3 linked regions of the Drosophila melanogaster genome follow. The gene in region 2 interacts genetically with the main gene of each other region. Each region holds a gene or a part of one and is shown on either strand. Other genes may lie near its edges.

Region 1 (4,614 bases), on a different chromosome or scaffold from region 2:
ATCCTTCATATTCTTAAATGAAACATTGTAAAGACACGACACGCGAGAAAACATTTTGTATCTGCTGCCCAACTGCGGAGGCGTTTACTCTGACCACCTAAACCTTAAACGAGAGAAAAGAAATTTCAATAAACATTAACTATTGATAAAACGGAGACGTCTTGTTGCCGCAATCAGTTTTTTAAAAACGCCGGTGATAACGACCACGCTGCTGATAACTCGCCGATAACACAGCGGGGCGATAAATTGAGCATTGAGCAAAGTAAATATGAATACATTATAAATATAACTCAGAATGATCTAGCAGAGAAGTAAATAAGACGCCATATTGTGTATGTATTCTCGAAGAGTATTAACAACCGATGTAATTAGTCAGTTTTAAAGCAATTTGCATTAACGAACTTTGTATTGCATTAAGTATAGAAGTCGGAACGGGCCAGATCGGACAACTATATCATATAGCGGGCATAGGAATAATTAAAACATTAACGCAAAATAAATATGTGTTCGTTGTGTTAGATCCATTAGGTGTTCTAATGTTTTGTTCATCTTAGTCAACGTCAATTTCAAAGTGGATGTTTATGATGGAAATCCAGTTCACGACACCATCATCCATTTCGAGGGTTAACTTATAGCTACCCTTTGGTAATGGGACCTTGGCAAACATACGATCATCCAAGGTGCAGTTCCTTATGTAAATATCATCCTTAAAATATATATTTTAATATGATTTAATATGATTGTCATATTGGCGAAACTAAATACTTACATTATAGGGACATGTATGATTAATATTGGAAAAGGGCATAAAGGCGGTGTAGAAATAGTAGAAGACTCTGAGACGATTTGGATACCTTAGGACGCGACAGTGTTCCTCGGAAACATTAAATAGAAACGGATGGTATCCGTTTAGCTTCCGGTAAGTGATGAATCTCACGACCATCCTATTTATTGGCAGTTTCAGAAGCTTAACGTGTATGTTGGCTCCGATAATTCCCCTGCCAAGCACTTTTAGTCGGCATTCGGGAAAGACGACGAATGATTTGTCATAGCTTTCGCACTTGAGGTTCGTGAGGCGCACGTATCCATGGGATTCTCCAATGAAAAGTAAGCTGATCCACAAGAGGTACTTCATCAGGGCAAATAGTCTGGATGTAATGACCACTCTACGCGATGGTGGAGTACTGGTTTCCAAAAATATAATTACTGATGGGGCATAATTAGATTTTAATTACTACTTATCGCAGTTCGTATAAATAATTAGGTAATCAACAAACCGCTTCAATGAGCTAATATGACGACATGTTTAATATATTGACATAGAAAAAAGATATTTCTTGAAAAATGCAATAGCTTATGACAGATATTTTGAAATGCGCGCCGAAATTAGGCAGGTCGATAAATTTGGGTAAGTAATGCTTATTTTTATCGATGCTATCGGAAGTCTATCGATCGGACTGCTTACGCGGCAATGTGACCATATAAGCGGTTTTCAAATGAACTGTAATGTTAACTCGTTAGCATACCACGATTAGTAATCCGCGCATTTTTTAGGCCATTCGCAACTGGCCCCACCACCTGGTCACTCTTATTGATCAGTTTATCGGTTGTTATTTTTCGCTTCAAGTCTTGTCTTCTCGGCGAAAAGAAAAACAATAAACAAATCGCACAGCCCCAAAATGATCAGTGGTCTGTAATCCACCTGTTGCTCGGCTTAACTGTGCTGGAAAAGCGGACTTTCGGCGCGCTGCTCTATTCCTGCGACTGCTGGTGCGTGACCTATTTATGTAACCTGTTTTTGAAAAAGAACATCCCGCTTTCGACGGGTCTGGAAAAGTGTTAATTAAACGGTCGTGGCGAGAGCGATTCCAATTAGAATTCGAATTCGGTGACCGAAAAGCGGAGAGTGCAAAATTCTGAGGCGGCAATTAAGGTAGAGAGTGATTGGAAAAAAGAAAAGAAATGAAACGAAACTAAAAGAAAAGAGTGCATTAACCCTGCCAAGCGGTCTGTGTAAATGTGTGTCTGTTTGTGGCTAGAAAAGCCAGTGGGGAAAATGACAAGGGTCACAGCATCGGTTCAGTGTAACATCATCGATTTTATTGCATTTCCAGACGGAGACGTGGCTGCATTGCATTTTTATTGCTTTAGGCGAGTGACCAAATTAAATAGCTACGCTTCAGGTTTCGTTGGCTAGAACGGTACTAACATGCACACTACAAGCGCAGCCCCGCTCTCTCGCACGCACACACGGACAGGTACACCTGCCGAGGAGCTGCAGAGCGAGCGAGAGGGAGAGATGCGTAAAGAGCGGCTCACAGTGCAACACATTCAAGGGTGCTGCTACCGTCTCCCCCTCTGCCACGTACCTTTCCCACCCGCTCTCGACAGTGCGCTCTCTCCCTCTCATTCTCCTTGAGCTTGAACCAGGCTTCCACACTGAGAAATAAACGATGTCAATTTAAAATGATTTGAATAGTCTTTTATGGAATTACGTGCGTAAACCTTAAAACAGTGACTAAGTGTGTTTTATTAATCAGTTGAAAACGTTTTTTTTTATAATCTATCATTATGATTATGAAAAATATACATATATGAAATACTTTTACTGTGTAAATCTAATCTAATCAGAGTGTACTATCATTAATTGTTTATAAATTTCAAACATTCAAGTTAAATATTTGTATATCCCATTTACATAAATTTGCATAAATACAAATCGATCATGAAGCGTCTGCTTTTTCTTGCAGTTCAGCGGTCAAGAGTTCTGAAATTGACAATAACAACAAAAACGCAGGCACACTTGTTTGTCCGGTTTGTTGTTTTTGCTGTTGCACAACGGGACATTTCGTGTGTGGACAATTGGAAAACCCTTTTTCAAATAAACGCTTTTCATTAGCCGGTTTTTGTTTCTTCTCTCCCATCTCAACCTTTTTTTTGCGTTTCCATTTGGGTTGTTGGGCTGTTTTTGTTTTTGTTGTTGCTGGGGGCTTTCGCGCACGCAGCGACTTTCTGTTTGTTTGGTGAAACTTTTTTAAGGTCTTCTCTAAATACATAATAAAAAAAAAATGAACATAATACTTTGCCCATTTTTTATTTTTGTTGTTGTCGCTGGTGAGTCGTTAAATTTTGTAGAAGATTTCAGTTGTTAAACCAGAAGCAAATTGTGTGAACAACAAACGAAGTTTTGCGAAAAAGAATTTTGTTAGCAATGCTAGTAATTATGGAAAAAGTTAAAAAAAAATTCTACAACTAACGGTGTTTTTTAAATTTAAATCATTTACAAGTTCACATTAATAACAAACACTTTATAATTTAAATTTGAAAAGGTCTAAAGGCAACATATAATCAATATTTTTGTAAAATAAGTAATATTATAAATGTTCAAATGAATTGAAAAAGTGCATTTGCTCTTAAATTTAAGAATCGTTCGCATTCCATAGACTTTACTACGGATTTATTATTAGCCATATTATCTTGAGAGCTATAATTCAAGTGACCAATAAAACAATATGGGTTTAACTAAAGTGCTCCAATTAACGTATAAGTAAAGTGAAACCTTATAGGATTATTATTGCATTTTTTGTAAAATAAGACGAATATGAATTTTTCAGATAGGAAATGTTTTTATGCCACAAATTGCTCAAAGATGACAACAACATGATGTCAAGTGTCAAAGTCAAAGTGAACAAAAAGTGGTTGTATTAAACAATTGGTATGAACGCCATACATACTTTTATATGTACATATGTTTATAGATAATATATGGCCGAGTGTCTGTATGTAGTGTAGAGTAGATGGCATAAACCGTAATTGTACGTGGCTGCCACACACGAACTTTCACTAATGACTCTCGATGAACTTTTGGATCACTCACTAAAAACGCACTCTCTTACTTATAGACATATATACATGCAGTACATATACATACATATGGTTACCATATATATGCACTTAGATACGTGCCAATCGTTCGTCACTGAGTCCACTATCACTACCATTCGATGCTAAATCTGCAGAGCCGGAAATTCTTAGACGCTCTTTGCTCGATTCTATAAGTTTTTTAATCGTTTTTGGTCATGCCCAGAGATACAAATGTCTGCCTCACACCTCGATTTACACCTTGTTTGATGTTTCGCTTCTTATCGCTACTTGCACTGCAGGGAAATTCTGATAACAGCAGGTACGGCAATTAGGCAATCGTTTTTAAATAATTCAGTCATGACTGTGCTTAGTCTAAGTGCTCTCTTCAATTTGAAAACAGTTGTGGATTGAGTACCAAAAAAAGATTAAAATACGAATATAGATACGTTTACCTAAAAAGCAATCCTTAAGATACAAATAGAGTTCCCAATAAATGAAACCTTTTCCGCGTTCTACAGTTAAGTACTTGCGGAAAGAGGGGATTTAGATGACAATGAGGGCATTAAACTATTAAATTGGGTGCTGATAACAGGACAACGAGTATTGAGCAATATTACTTAATACATGTATGTATGTCTTAGTTAAATGTTTGAACTCCAGCCGACAATTGAGGTCGCTATATGGTTGTGGTTCGAGTGTGGATCGCGGATAGATGGGTTCCCTATGTGCACTAGACTCGTATTTTGACCG
Region 2 (7,945 bases):
TTGAATATCCTTGTAGTTGAATGCTTTATTTGTTGCTCCGCATAGGTATAGTAGTTGCTCATATTGTTTCTTTGTTGCAAATAGTACGCATTTTGGGGATTCTGAGGGTCTGAAACATTGAGTGCAGTTTTACAATTTCTTAATTGATTTTCTTTCATTTTGAAGTTTCTTTTTGGTTGTTTTTTTTTTTTGGCTTTTTCTTTGTTTTTTTTTTACTGTGTGTTTTGTCACGGGTTTCGTATTCTTATAATTTTGGTTAATTTTAGCTTTCCTCTTTGGCTGCAGTTTTTCCAACTGTGAGTGGTTGTGTGTGTGTGTGTGTCTGAACGTGGGTGCATCCTCCGTCTGCCGGCTGTTTACATATATAGATATCACGAGAGTTCCTGCGAGAACTGCGTCTCCAGGGTGGGTCTAGTTCTAGTGGGGTTCCTGCTGGGATTGCGTATCGGTGGTCCTGGGCTGCCATAGCCCGCCGCATACAGCTGCGGGCACGAGTCTTTTATGAGTTCCTGCGTCTCGCGCAACTGCCGCTGCACCTGCGGCGCCAGTCTCTGCACGCTGATGGCCGGCGGGAACTTGTATTCCGCCGCTGGAGCGGCCTGCAAATGGTCAAGTAAATATATTAGTCATTAAGCTAAAAGTCAAGATAATAGGCATTAAGAATTAGTTGCTCATGAGCGCAAATTCTGCAGACAGTAGAATTTTTTAAGAATTCTTCAGCAGACTCAAGTTGCCCTCTAAGATCCAGTACATATAGGATCACTCACCTGTACGCCGTGCATCATCTCGCCGTAGTAGGCGCCCGGCGGAGGAGGCGGTGGCTGTTGCTGCTGGATTTGGCTGTGTGGAGCGGTTGGCGGTTCGTAAGTTTCGGGGGCGTTGCATTTGATGCTGAAATGCACATCACTGTATTTAAATGGATATAATATATATATATATGATGACAGATAGCTGAACCTACCCAGTTGCACAGAGGAGAGTGGTTGCAGCGGGTCCACCATAGATCAGGCGCTTTGGACTCACGCTCTGGGGCTTTGATCCGGCGGGAAGGGTCAGCAGGTATTGCTGTTGCTGCTGCTGGTAAAGTTGCTGCTGCTGCTGCTGATTGAGTTGCAGCTGCTGTTGCTGCTGCAGCTGTAGCTGTTGTTGCTGCTGTTGATGCTGCTGCTGCAACTGGACGAGCTGTGCCGCTGCTGCTGCCGTGGACGTGTTGACAACATTAGGATCCAACTGGGGCAGCAGTATTAGTTGCTGCTGCTGCTGCTGGTAGAGCACTGCCGCCTGTTGCTGCTGCTGTTGTTGCTGCTGCTGCACCACTTGCCGTCCCGTCAACACATGCTGAGGTAGATACTCCGTCGTGGGCAGCGCGACTATCGTCGATGAGGAGGAGGAGGAGGTGGAGGCGGTGACCGCCGAGGCGCTAGAAGGCTGAATCAGCAGGCCGGCGCCACGCGGTGGCTGCTTCAATGGCACCTGCACCTGGCGGATGGGCGTCGTCTGCAGCGAGCGGCTGGCCGAGGAGCAGATGGAGGCCGTAATGCTGGCGGACTCCCAATGTTGACGCAGGGCGTTTAGTCGGGCCTCCTCCAATGCGATCTCCGTCTCGCTGGCCGAATCGTAGTCGGGACCCTAAAACAAGCGTGTTTGTGTTTAGCCAGATTTGGTCACAGACAAGAAGTAAAAGTTTAGCAAAACACCCAGAATATAAAGATCAAATTAAAATACCTTTAAAATGGAAATTTATAAAAGATTTTGTGTCTAACATGTTTAATAAAATAATCAAATTAATCCCCATGGCATATATGTACATTTTCTTGCTGCGCATAAGTTGTTCCAATCTCTTTGAAGTCAAATTTTCAGGTAACAAGCGAATTTTAATGGCTCCTCACATGTTGTTCGAAAAGAAAACAAATAGGGGGCCATAAAACTAATTGTTTTGCTCTTTCGATTTGGGATAGCCAAATACTTAGTGCACTTACATATATATTGATTTTTGGCCATTTGTTTATTATCACGGAACAGCCAATTACACATCAATGTTATGACTAGTTAGCTGATCATTATTTACATTGGTTGAGTTTATATTGCAAAGCTTTTAAAATATATATGTATGTTAAAATTAATAAATTCTATTAAATTACGTATTTGGGGTCAATGAATTTATAGAATTTCGTACTTTCAACTTTTTGTGTTTATAGAAACAACAATTGTTCTCTGTGCTTTATAGCGAGTGATTTAAGTTTTTATACTATTGGGAACCCCCTTGATTTAAATTTCCCATCTGGTATGTGGGAATGTATCACTAAGTGGACTCTCACCTCATCAATCTTCTTGTCCAGCATGCGGAAGAAGTTCTGCTGGCTAGATGATATTTCCCTGGAAAAGTGAGGTGTTCATTTTCGGGTTATGCGGTCGATGGGCTAACTTACTGGCTTTGCAGCAGCGATAGGTTCTTGGCGCGCAGCAGTGAGACGGCCACGTCCTCGTCGCTTTCCTGGATGTCCTTATTGCTTAGCTCCTCGCTCTCGTCGTGCTTCTCGCGGTCGCGCTGCTGTGCCTTCTCAGCATCCTCGATATGGCCTTCGTCCTCGTCCGTTTCGGCATCTGAGTCGGCTGCCAAACAAATGGATAATGCCAAAGAAGAGTTTCGAGCATTAGTCAAGATGAGTGGGCAATTTCGCGAGTGCCATGGAGTGGCAAAAGTTTTGCAATAAGCCAAGTGTGGCAAACTTCTCTGCGAAACGGGGGGCAGTCGCAGTCGAGAAAAATGCTTAGAAAACACTTGTAGAAATTATGCTAGGTCCTGGGCCACTATGGATACTCAAAAAAACACTATCTGCCTTTCAAATACTTAATTATTTATAAAAATAAATAAAGAAATCAAAGTTTTTAGCATCCTTTTTGTACCTGCACGTTTCTGTTTTGCTAATCCATCTTTCGGCTTAGCCTGCGTATACTTAATATTTCCTCGGGCCTTTCTTTGAAGTGGCCTTGCCAGCCATAAATTTAATTAAAAGCCGTTATGCATTTTAATGCAAATTCGGTAAAGCGAGAGCCGCGAGTATTATGAATAATTAATCTAGGAACGAGACTAAAGCTTAGGCGCCTCCGAAATATTTGGGTCGTTTATGGCACAATGGCGCCTTTGTGTATGCTATACTTTTTTAGCTTTAACCCTTTTGCCCACAGAGACACACACACACACAGCTATATACAAACTGGGGGGGGGGGGCTGGCCACGCCCCTTGAAGCGGCGCCCACTGCAACAACAAGTTGCCTTTTTAGCAGTTAATTATACACACACAAAATGAAATAAAAAAGGCAAGAAACACGCACACATAGACACAGACAGCAACAAACGCGCGGGGTTGGGCATAGTCAAAAGTTTGCCATGTAGGCTAGGTTTTTACATTCTTATAAACTTAAATTGGCTAGTGTGCGTGTGTGTGTGTTTATATATAGACAATGCTGTGGGCTTTAAAATGTAGGCCTTTATTATTACTTTGGTGAATGTATGGCCTTAAAACTGGGCTCCTCCTTTCAACTTCCCCTTCTTTTTTCACTGCTGGTGACATATTAATCAATGATGTCCTCATTGTGTGGAAACAGGTGGCTCACACACACACACATGCACGGAAACACGGACGCACACATGCACACACAGCTGGAGGCAAATTGATGTCGTCATGCGTGTAAGCTTTTGTTGTGCGAGGCAATACGTTTTCCTCGCCGTTTCCCCAATTTCCCTTGCTCTACACAGAGGAAAATGCCTAAACGATTTGATAGATCATTCCAAATGATCGGGCATACACAAAGTTGGCAAAACAATATCAATTCTAGCACGCAAAATGAGAATAACATAAAATCTATAAGTAAAATGAACTGAGAAATTTTTGAAGATCAATTTATCAGTATTGCTGATTTTTTATTATATATATGCACATAGGTGGCTACTAAAAATATTTGAACTGTGTATTTTGGGCTTATGAAAACCCTTAGATAACCTATTGATTTGCTTCATCTTTAACGCATTTACGTCTGGTGCACCGTGTGTGGAACTTATAAAGGCAGGTGCCCAAAGGATATACTCTCATTTCGCCTACTCACCATGTCCTCCTTTCTTGCCGTTCGCTTTACTCTTCGATTTTCTGGGATACAAATGTATCTTGCTCTGTCCACAGCCCATCTTTTGAATGTGCCGCTGCCTCTAGAAATCCAGAATCGCTGCTGCTGCCTCTGCTGCTGCTCTTGTTGTTTTTGTTTTCAATTTGTGTTGCTTTTTATTTATCTGTTTTTGTTGTTGTATTATTAATTTGTTGCTCGACACGTTGCTCTCCCGCTCGGTCTGCCGCTCCTCACTCTTCGCGTCTCCGTCACCTCACCGTCTTTTATTTACGTTTGTCGTCTATTCTTTCTTCTGTTTTATTCAATTTTCACTAATTTAACTATGTGTGTAAATTAAATTTATTTGATTTGGTGTTGTTGTTGCTGCCGCTGCCGCCGTTGTCAATTTCGAAAGATTGAGGTAGCAGCAACAAATGCTCCTCGGGGGGGAAATACATTTGTGCGTGAGTTTTTCTCAGGGAAAATGCCACCCAAGCCACCCACTCAACCACTCGCCCACCGATTTCCAGTTCAAACCAAATACAGGACAACTAGGCTAATTCAAGTGAAGTTAAGTTAGTGGAAAACTTATAAATTGATACCAAGTCTAGAATGAACCATTAGTGCAAATTTCTTTAGTAATACTTTTGGTGCTCGTTTGGTATTGAATCAAATATTAACGAACGAATTTGATTTAGTAATATCATTATTAATATGGCACAAACTAAACTTTTAGCTCGAAATTTATGAATATTTCAAGTTTCCACTGCTCGATGCTTCACTGTAGTGGCATTTTCCTCATTTATTTGTCTTCTGTATTTTGGGGACCGTAGCGGAAATTAAGTGGGTCCCTGGCTGGCACTCATCCACTTGTTTCAGCCGTGCTATAAATTCAATTTGCAGCGTCAATTTGTAAACAGGACAAACCCATAAAAGGGTTTTTCTGACCAGGGCTGCAGCAGCACTACGCAAATCGCTCTCCTTGAGAGCCTTTTGTATGTTGTTGATGTTTTCGATGCCTTCGAAGGTGGCTCCACGGCGTTGTGCTAAACGCGCGCGTGGTGCTCTTGTTGTTGTTTATGTTGTCGTTGGTAATTTAAACAAATAATAACGATAATAAGCACAACAAATAGTGTGCAGCAAAAACACTTGAATTATATTCAATTATTCGCAGAGAGAGAGAGAAAGAGAGAGTGAGTGAGAGCACTCGGCCACTCGCTTTTGCTCACTGGATATTATAATAGACACCGACACGCGAGACACACCGCACACCACCACACGCACACATGCGCCCGTTTTGGGGGAAGACGGACACAGACAGGCGCGCGCCAAAAAAGAGAGAGAGAGAGCGCTCCTCGGAGAGAGAGAAATTGATTTTTCTATTTATAAAAAAAAATCAAAATATATCCGCTTGGTTCACATCTTCCTTTTTTTTTTTGATTATTTTATTTTTGTTGCCGCCAACTGGCAGCGAAACATAATTTATGTTTTATTTATGATTGCCGGATTTTCATTTAATTTCCATTCCCATGGTGATTTTCGGCTGGCCGCCGTTTTATTTCGCCCCAAAGAAACTTGTTTGATTTATCTCACTTGACCACTTGGGCGCATTTGGCCATTCCATTCCATTCAGTTAAATAAAAACACAGTCGCAAATACACTATCATTTACCGTTTAACGAACACGCCCATTTATTTACACCGTTTTGTTAATAACTAAGAGGAACTGTCGCCCATTTTTTCGGTTTTTTTTTTCAATTTATTTACACTGGCTTTTTCCTGCGGAAAACTTTGCCGAAAAGTATCTGCGACGCGTTGCGAGTGTGCGGAATTCGTATGAAATTTATGCTGCATGACACTCCTCTTTGTGTCACAAAAAGCGAGAACCGCTCTCAGCGGCATGCCAGCACACACACAACGATGGAGATGAGTGCCCACTGCAATGGGGGTGGGTTTTCAGGCGAAGCTTTCGCACAGGGGTTCAATGCTACCGTGGAGCTGGAGCTTTCGGCAAACGGTTCTGGTACGGGATGTGACCATTTGCGGAGGCTGATCGCAGGTCGGCGCCGTCGGCATGGGGTAGGCGTAGGCGGTGCCAGAAAATGTTAAGGCGTGGTCAGGATCAGCGACGGACACAGAAAAGGGTTGCACTTTCCTCAGACCCAAGGCCCTGTTTCTTTAACGCAACACTGCATCGAAGCTCTAAATCGAGGAACCAAAACTAGTAGCACTCACGATTTCGATGTATATAGGATTCGTTGTGAGCAGGTCCTTCGTGCAGGCCACGAGGCCATTTTGGCACTTTGATTTGGCGTTGGTGTACCGATATGCATTCTTTTTCGTACCATCGATATCGGTATCGATATCGGAAAATACACGCATAGAAGAAGTAAATAAACTTTTCTGGTAGAGCACGCTTTAAGCTCCGTGCCAGGAACTTTTCGAAATTCTTGGCCACGCGACAACTGTTCCAGTAATGCCAAAAAGCTCCAGCAGAGGTCTTGAAGTTTCCAAATGGTGTTTTACACTTACCCCTATTTTAATTTAATTTTTTATGAACAGACTGTAATTGTTCTTAAAACTATTTTGTTTTACTTATTATTTTATATAGACCACGGACATCTCGGACACCACGGACCATACGGATATCATGATAAACCACGGACAATACGGAAACCACGTACTCCGGCATATTCAATATTTCAATACTTTCCTAATATTTCGCAAAAATATTTTCGCACAAAAAAAAAAATCGCGCCCAGTCATGTTAGGCCTCATTAATTTCAACAGCAATGATTTTCTGACCATCGCTCCGCTCCACTTCCGATGGACAGAAATCGCAGGACAAATAAACTACCCCCTGCGATTCGCCCTTCTGCATAATATTAGATGGAACATGTAGATGGCATTATTTATTGCATAATAATGAAGTGAGAAACGTTACAAATCAAAACACTCGACAGCATCTATATAAACTTTCGTCCGTTTCCATTCACTCGATTTTTTTTTATCATTATAATATATTTTTGGGGCAGAATCGCTGGCATTTTTTCCGTGCATTTGTCAGCCGCAACGGAATTGAAACGTTTGCGCTTTTATTGCCACGGACGTGTGTCGTCGTCAGGGGGCTGGAAATGCGACTATATCGCTCTCAAGGGGTGGACAGTTAGGACATCTAGGACATCTACGGACACTACGGACTGGTGGGAAAAATATGAAATGTATATGTCCATGCCAAACAGGAAGTAATATACAACAAATGCGAAATGATATCTTCCCATTGATCTATGGATTGAGCAAAAGCAGGGTGGCATTTTAAGTCTTATATTAATGGTGTTTGGTGGGATTACAGATATCGCTTTCGCTAAACAATTGAAACAAGATGAGCAGAGAAATTTCAACAAAAAAGCTGAACAAAATTTGGATTGTTTGAATCAATTTCTTATATATCATTTTAAGTCAAATTCAACTTTATCTAATGGTAAGAAAGAAAATATAAAAATATTATTTTCTACGCATTTATTATTTAAGTTATTATTGTTAAGTATGTCATTTAGTAATTTCTTCGATAAAATAGTAGAAAAGAAAATAATACAAAAGTCGACTCCATATTAAATGTTTTGTAATATTTTTCCAAGCCATCCTTGAACTTGTTACTCCCCAAAATCATTCCCTAATTATCAGATTCCCTATGCAAGGATTGTCATGTTGGTTAACTGCCGATAATGGCGACATATGTTTCTGGCATTTCTCACATTGTTTGGCATTTCTCCCGTTGTCTGCAACAGTTTGAACCTGTTGGTGTGTCCTGCCAGCATTTAGGCAAATTTTCGCACTCCTTT
Region 3 (4,565 bases), on a different chromosome or scaffold from region 2:
TCTGTATTTGTATATGTAAATGTATCTGACTGTTTTTTTTTTCGGCTGTATCTACGGACCACTGCTGCCGTATAAAACTGAACCGTACGTGTGTATATGCATCAATTAAGCTTTTATTCTAACATAACAATTTTGAATGTGGCCGAAACCAGTTTTGAGTGCGCGACCAAGAGGGCCGATGCCTACGCAGAAGTATCTCATGGATAGCCGTGTGAGTAGTGGCCAAGAGAGGCCACCATAAACCCACAAAAGATACCGAAAAATGTGGACCATCAACGTCATCAATGAATCTCTGGTGTGTGCACACGAATTCGTCCAACTCCATGCCATGCAAATCTCATTTGGCCATTGGCCCTCTGATTCTGTAATAAATTCCACAATAGACTGTTGATATTTTGATGGACTCAAGCCGGTCACAAATCAGCCACATTAACTGGCACGAGACAGCATTCAAATGTTAATTAATCAAGAGTCATAACGAGTTTTCCTATGCCGGCATGGATATCGAATGGATTGACTGAGGTTAGTTCGCCGTGCGAGTTGGCTATTCGCAGTGAATGTGGCATCAGAAGCCGGAAAAAATCACCTTTTTCGTTGGCTCCTTGGCCAACTGAAGTCTTAACTGATCACTTCGAACTCAAAAAAACAAAAAACATAACCAATGAAAAACAGGTTGCGGCTACCGAAGAAGAAGAGGATGCGTTCTGGTCAGGATGATGGCCCGTAGCGGATCTGCCTGCCGGTGGTGGATTGCTCCTAACCTGGCCGAGACAGCTGCAAAACCGCGAAGAGAGCCAGGCGCTAACAAACTCATTTTAAGCACGGTAAAATATTTTATTTACCTACTTTTTCTTAAATTTTATTCAAGTAATTCCTCTACTACAACTTAATCTTTATATCCGCAATTATTTGATTTCAAATATAAATGGATTAAACTCATTCTACACATATTTCAAGAAAACAGCCTATTGTAAAAATTAAAGGATAACACCTTAAGCCTTTAACTCTTAATATTAATCGTCTTATAAAATATAATAGAACGACATTTGATGTTTTTGTGTGTAACTAAACTTGGATCACATAATTAACCTAAGTAAATAACTTTTTTTTCTCTGCACCAGCCGCAAGAAGAATGGGAAAAGGTTGGTAACACGCCGAGAAAGAGAGACAGAGAGAGCTAGAGAGAGGCAGGGAGAAAGGGGTCGAACGAGGAGCAGTAGCAGAAAACCAGTCTTACAACAATTTTTCAGCTACTTGCCACTGGCAGGCTCAAAATGGACTTGACTTGACTCTTCCAATTGCACCAAACACACCGCATTCCAACTAGAAAATCATAAAACATAAATGTGCGAGAGTATCTGGCCCCCATCGAAATATAACAAAGGCCCTGTTAATGGCCTCGAAAATAAAATCTATCTTAATAAATTGGCAATCCGACAAAACTGAGTCGAGTGAATAATGTATCCAGCAGATAAGTTTGTCCCGGCCTGCTGAAATATTTATGCGCCAGACAAAGGGCGCAGAAACAAAGATACAAACGCAATGGCAAAGGCAAAATCCCATGGACAAGTGTGAAATGCAGGGAAAACAAAGCACTTGCAACGCTCAGATACAGATACATTTGTATCTCGTGCAGGCATTTGATTCCACGATTCCCCGATTCCGATTTCGGTTATGTTTTGACCCAACTCTTCTCCTTTCTCTCCTCGCGCTCTCCGCGTTTTTGACCCACGTTTTAATGTGACTTTTATTGTGCTTCCTCCTTTTGTTGTCTCATTTGGTATTCAGTTTAATGTTTGTTTAGAGCTTCGCGTTTGTATCTTTTTGCGATGGCTCTGAACTTTAACAGTTGCACTGTGTGAGCGTCGGACTTCGACTTCGACTTCGGCCATCGGCCAACTGTTTGGGCCAACTGCTAATTGGAGATGGCCAAGAAAGAGGCCTTAGGTTTAAAGGCCCAATTGGAGCTCTATTTTATTGCCGAAGCCCTAGAGCTGAAAGCCGTTAATTAAGAACGTCTTAAATCGAAACATTTCAGAGGTAGCCAGAACCACTAAGCGTCTTTCCATATCATATAACAAATAAAGGTTCTAGCAATATTTCATACAGGCCCCCATTTATATGCAGATACAAAATACTTTTCTAGAGCTTATAACCCTTTGAAAATATGAATTACGCGATTCCGCTATGGCGTAAGCCCTTAAATACGAAGTTTATCTAAGAGATTTAAGGCCACGCCTGCGGAACATATAGTGTCCTGTTGGAACGACACCTGTCATACGTCATGAATCAGGTGTCATGCGTCGCACAATTCCCATTAGAATGCAGCCGCATCCCGCCCACAAGGACATATGTATATGCGCGAGCACATGCACATATCCTTGATATATCCTGGCTGGAACGTGTGAACTTACAGGCTTTTGTTTGCTCTGCCGCTGAATTTCCACGCGTGGGTGGCCAATAATCCGCTTTAGCTGCACGGCTGCATTGTTAAATATTTATAATATTGCATTTAAAATCGCGCATCCGTGTTGTTTCCTCTGCGTGAATCTTGTGTTTGTATTATTAACACAATATATTATAATTAGCACTCGCCAGTTTGTGTGACTGGCCTCACTCTAGAGCACTGTTTAAACTGATTTAACTATTTTGATTCCGGGAAATTCGAATAATTCGAATGCTAAACCGACTATAACCCCGACCGTTAAGCTGGGCGGCTAAAAAAAGGGGGTGGTTGTTGGAAAAGCCAACGCACTTTTCTGAAAACAGCAGGCGAAGAAAAGACCGCGCGCTAAAATTCACTGAGAGCGAGGATTGTTGTATGTTGTGTTGGCGAAAAACCGGTAATTTCGACCGTCGAAGTTGTTACTTTGGGTTTGCGTTTACCTCTGCCTTTTGGCTTTGCACTTGCCTTTGCATTTGTCTTTGCTTTTGACTTTGCAGAGACGCGCACGCGTAGCCCCGAGTGAAAAATAATACCGTTCTTGCTGGCCAAACGCTCAAAACGCGTCCAATCGGTCCGGAGTCGCAGTGGTAACTGGCAAAACCAGAAACAGAAACTGAGTTTCTTGCTAAAACTCAGTTGGAAGCCGAAGCGAGTTCGTGTATCCGATGGATACTTTCGTCGGTGGTGGATTTTCTGCGGGGGGTGACTGCGTGTTGCAGCAACATTGCCGCGACTGTTGCAACATGTTGCGGCAGCAGAGAGAGGTGCCACCAAATTTCGGTTTGCATCCCCGAGCATAAAAACGTGCAATTTGATCCAGGATTCTTCAACCTGTAGGATATTCAATCTTTGGAAACTTCGAAAGTCTTTTTCTTATCAGTAAATTAGTTTTGCAGCACGCTTTGCATGCTCAAAGATTTAAATCGACTCAATTTATTAAATGTGATATTTATATAATTTTACTACTATTTATTAAATAAATGTTAAATAAATGTGTTATCTGTGCATCGGGCCAACACCTGTAATCGGAATTAGTTTGCGAATCTAAAGATGGTGGAACATTATCCCTTACGGGTAAAACTTGAACATAAAATTGCTAACTTATAAATTTACATGTGGTGTATTCATTTGTTAATATTAATAAATAATATTCCATATAGCCTAGTTTTTGTGTCCCACCAATAATAATTCATTTTCTGTTGAACGCCTTGGTTTGAAAACTAAATAAACAAACAAACATATTATTTGGCATAATTAAGCGATAGTCTAAATCAACGCAATTTATGTTCAGAAACATAATATGCTAAAAGTTCACTGTCAAAACCAAAAATGTAGTACACCATTAAAACCGACCAAATGACCGTTTTCCATGTTATGATGAGGTTCAAGTGTCAAGAGCTGTTAAGTGAATAGTTTCAATTACGAAGCCATTAGGGATGAATCATTATTCCAATTGGGATCTATACATAGGTATGCCAGAAATTCGCATGTTCCTGCTTGCCATTCGATTAGATTTCAGTTTATCGAATTATGCAAAATATTTAATGCAATTTTGGTTGGCAGAATTCGGCAGCAGTGATAAACATATGCTGGGACCCAGAAACCGAACAAGCTTTTGGCCCACAAGGACAACAGTCGTGGGTAATGGCTACGCTGGTAGATGTATGTATGTGTCGGCGGAATTTATAGCTTACAGGAAGGTGTTGGCCAAGACATCGTCGTTTGGCCAACAACTCGCATTTGGCCAGCTGACGTGGTCCGAATACTTCCGAATAGCAACGAATCGAAGGGATTTTGGGAGGAATCGAAGGAATAGGAGAATAGGAGACCGAAATGGGGGTTTCTTGCATGTAATTGACATTGGCCCCTTGCGTTTGATTAATTGCATTTGGTTGAGGCTCTTCCAAGCCATTGACTCGGAATGCTCTGAATTCCCCCATTGATCTGTATCCGTGTCTATGTAACCTTGTGGCCATGTGTAGCTAGCTGCATCCGTAATCTGTAACCGTTTCAATTTGTATCTGTGTGCTTTTTGCGGGGCAATAAATTCGACATGTTCGACATGCTTTCCAATTACTGAGCGCTGGCATTAAACAAATGCAGCACACTTGACACACGT

Evidence for each region. Genes that interact genetically often act in the same process or in processes that back each other up.
Region 1: of tow (region 2) and ck, changing one suppresses a phenotype caused by changing the other (phenotypic suppression), as found in Drosophila melanogaster (one study listed by BioGRID).
Region 3: of tow (region 2) and stan, changing one enhances a phenotype caused by changing the other (phenotypic enhancement), as found in Drosophila melanogaster (one study listed by BioGRID).

The regions. Positions count from the first base shown.
Region 1 is NT_033779.5:15,054,824-15,059,437, reverse strand, and holds the start of ck (crinkled), read left to right. Parts: upstream 1-1,575; 5' UTR 1,576-1,770; exon of another isoform or gene 1,771-1,933; intron 1,934-4,614. Other genes in the region: CG33679 (uncharacterized protein), read right to left, coding at 551-706, 770-1,135. UniProt on the Drosophila melanogaster protein: Myosins are actin-based motor molecules with ATPase activity. Unconventional myosins serve in intracellular movements: can function in cells as a single-molecule cargo transporter.
Region 2 is NT_037436.4:6,940,932-6,948,876, reverse strand, and holds the start of tow (target of wingless), read right to left. Parts: upstream 6,022-7,945; 5' UTR 5,871-6,021; exon of another isoform or gene 5,776-5,870; intron 4,446-5,775; 5' UTR 4,187-4,445; coding exon 4,108-4,186; intron 2,614-4,107; coding exon 2,430-2,613; intron 2,377-2,429; coding exon 2,319-2,376; intron 1,630-2,318; coding exon 962-1,629; intron 907-961; coding exon 768-906; intron 600-767; coding exon 372-599; 3' UTR 1-371.
Region 3 is NT_033778.4:10,671,819-10,676,383, reverse strand, and holds the start of stan (starry night), read right to left. Parts: upstream 3,040-4,565; 5' UTR 2,415-3,039; intron 1-2,414. UniProt on the Drosophila melanogaster protein: Involved in the fz signaling pathway that controls wing tissue polarity. Also mediates homophilic cell adhesion. May play a role in initiating prehair morphogenesis. May play a critical role in tissue polarity and in formation of normal dendrite fields.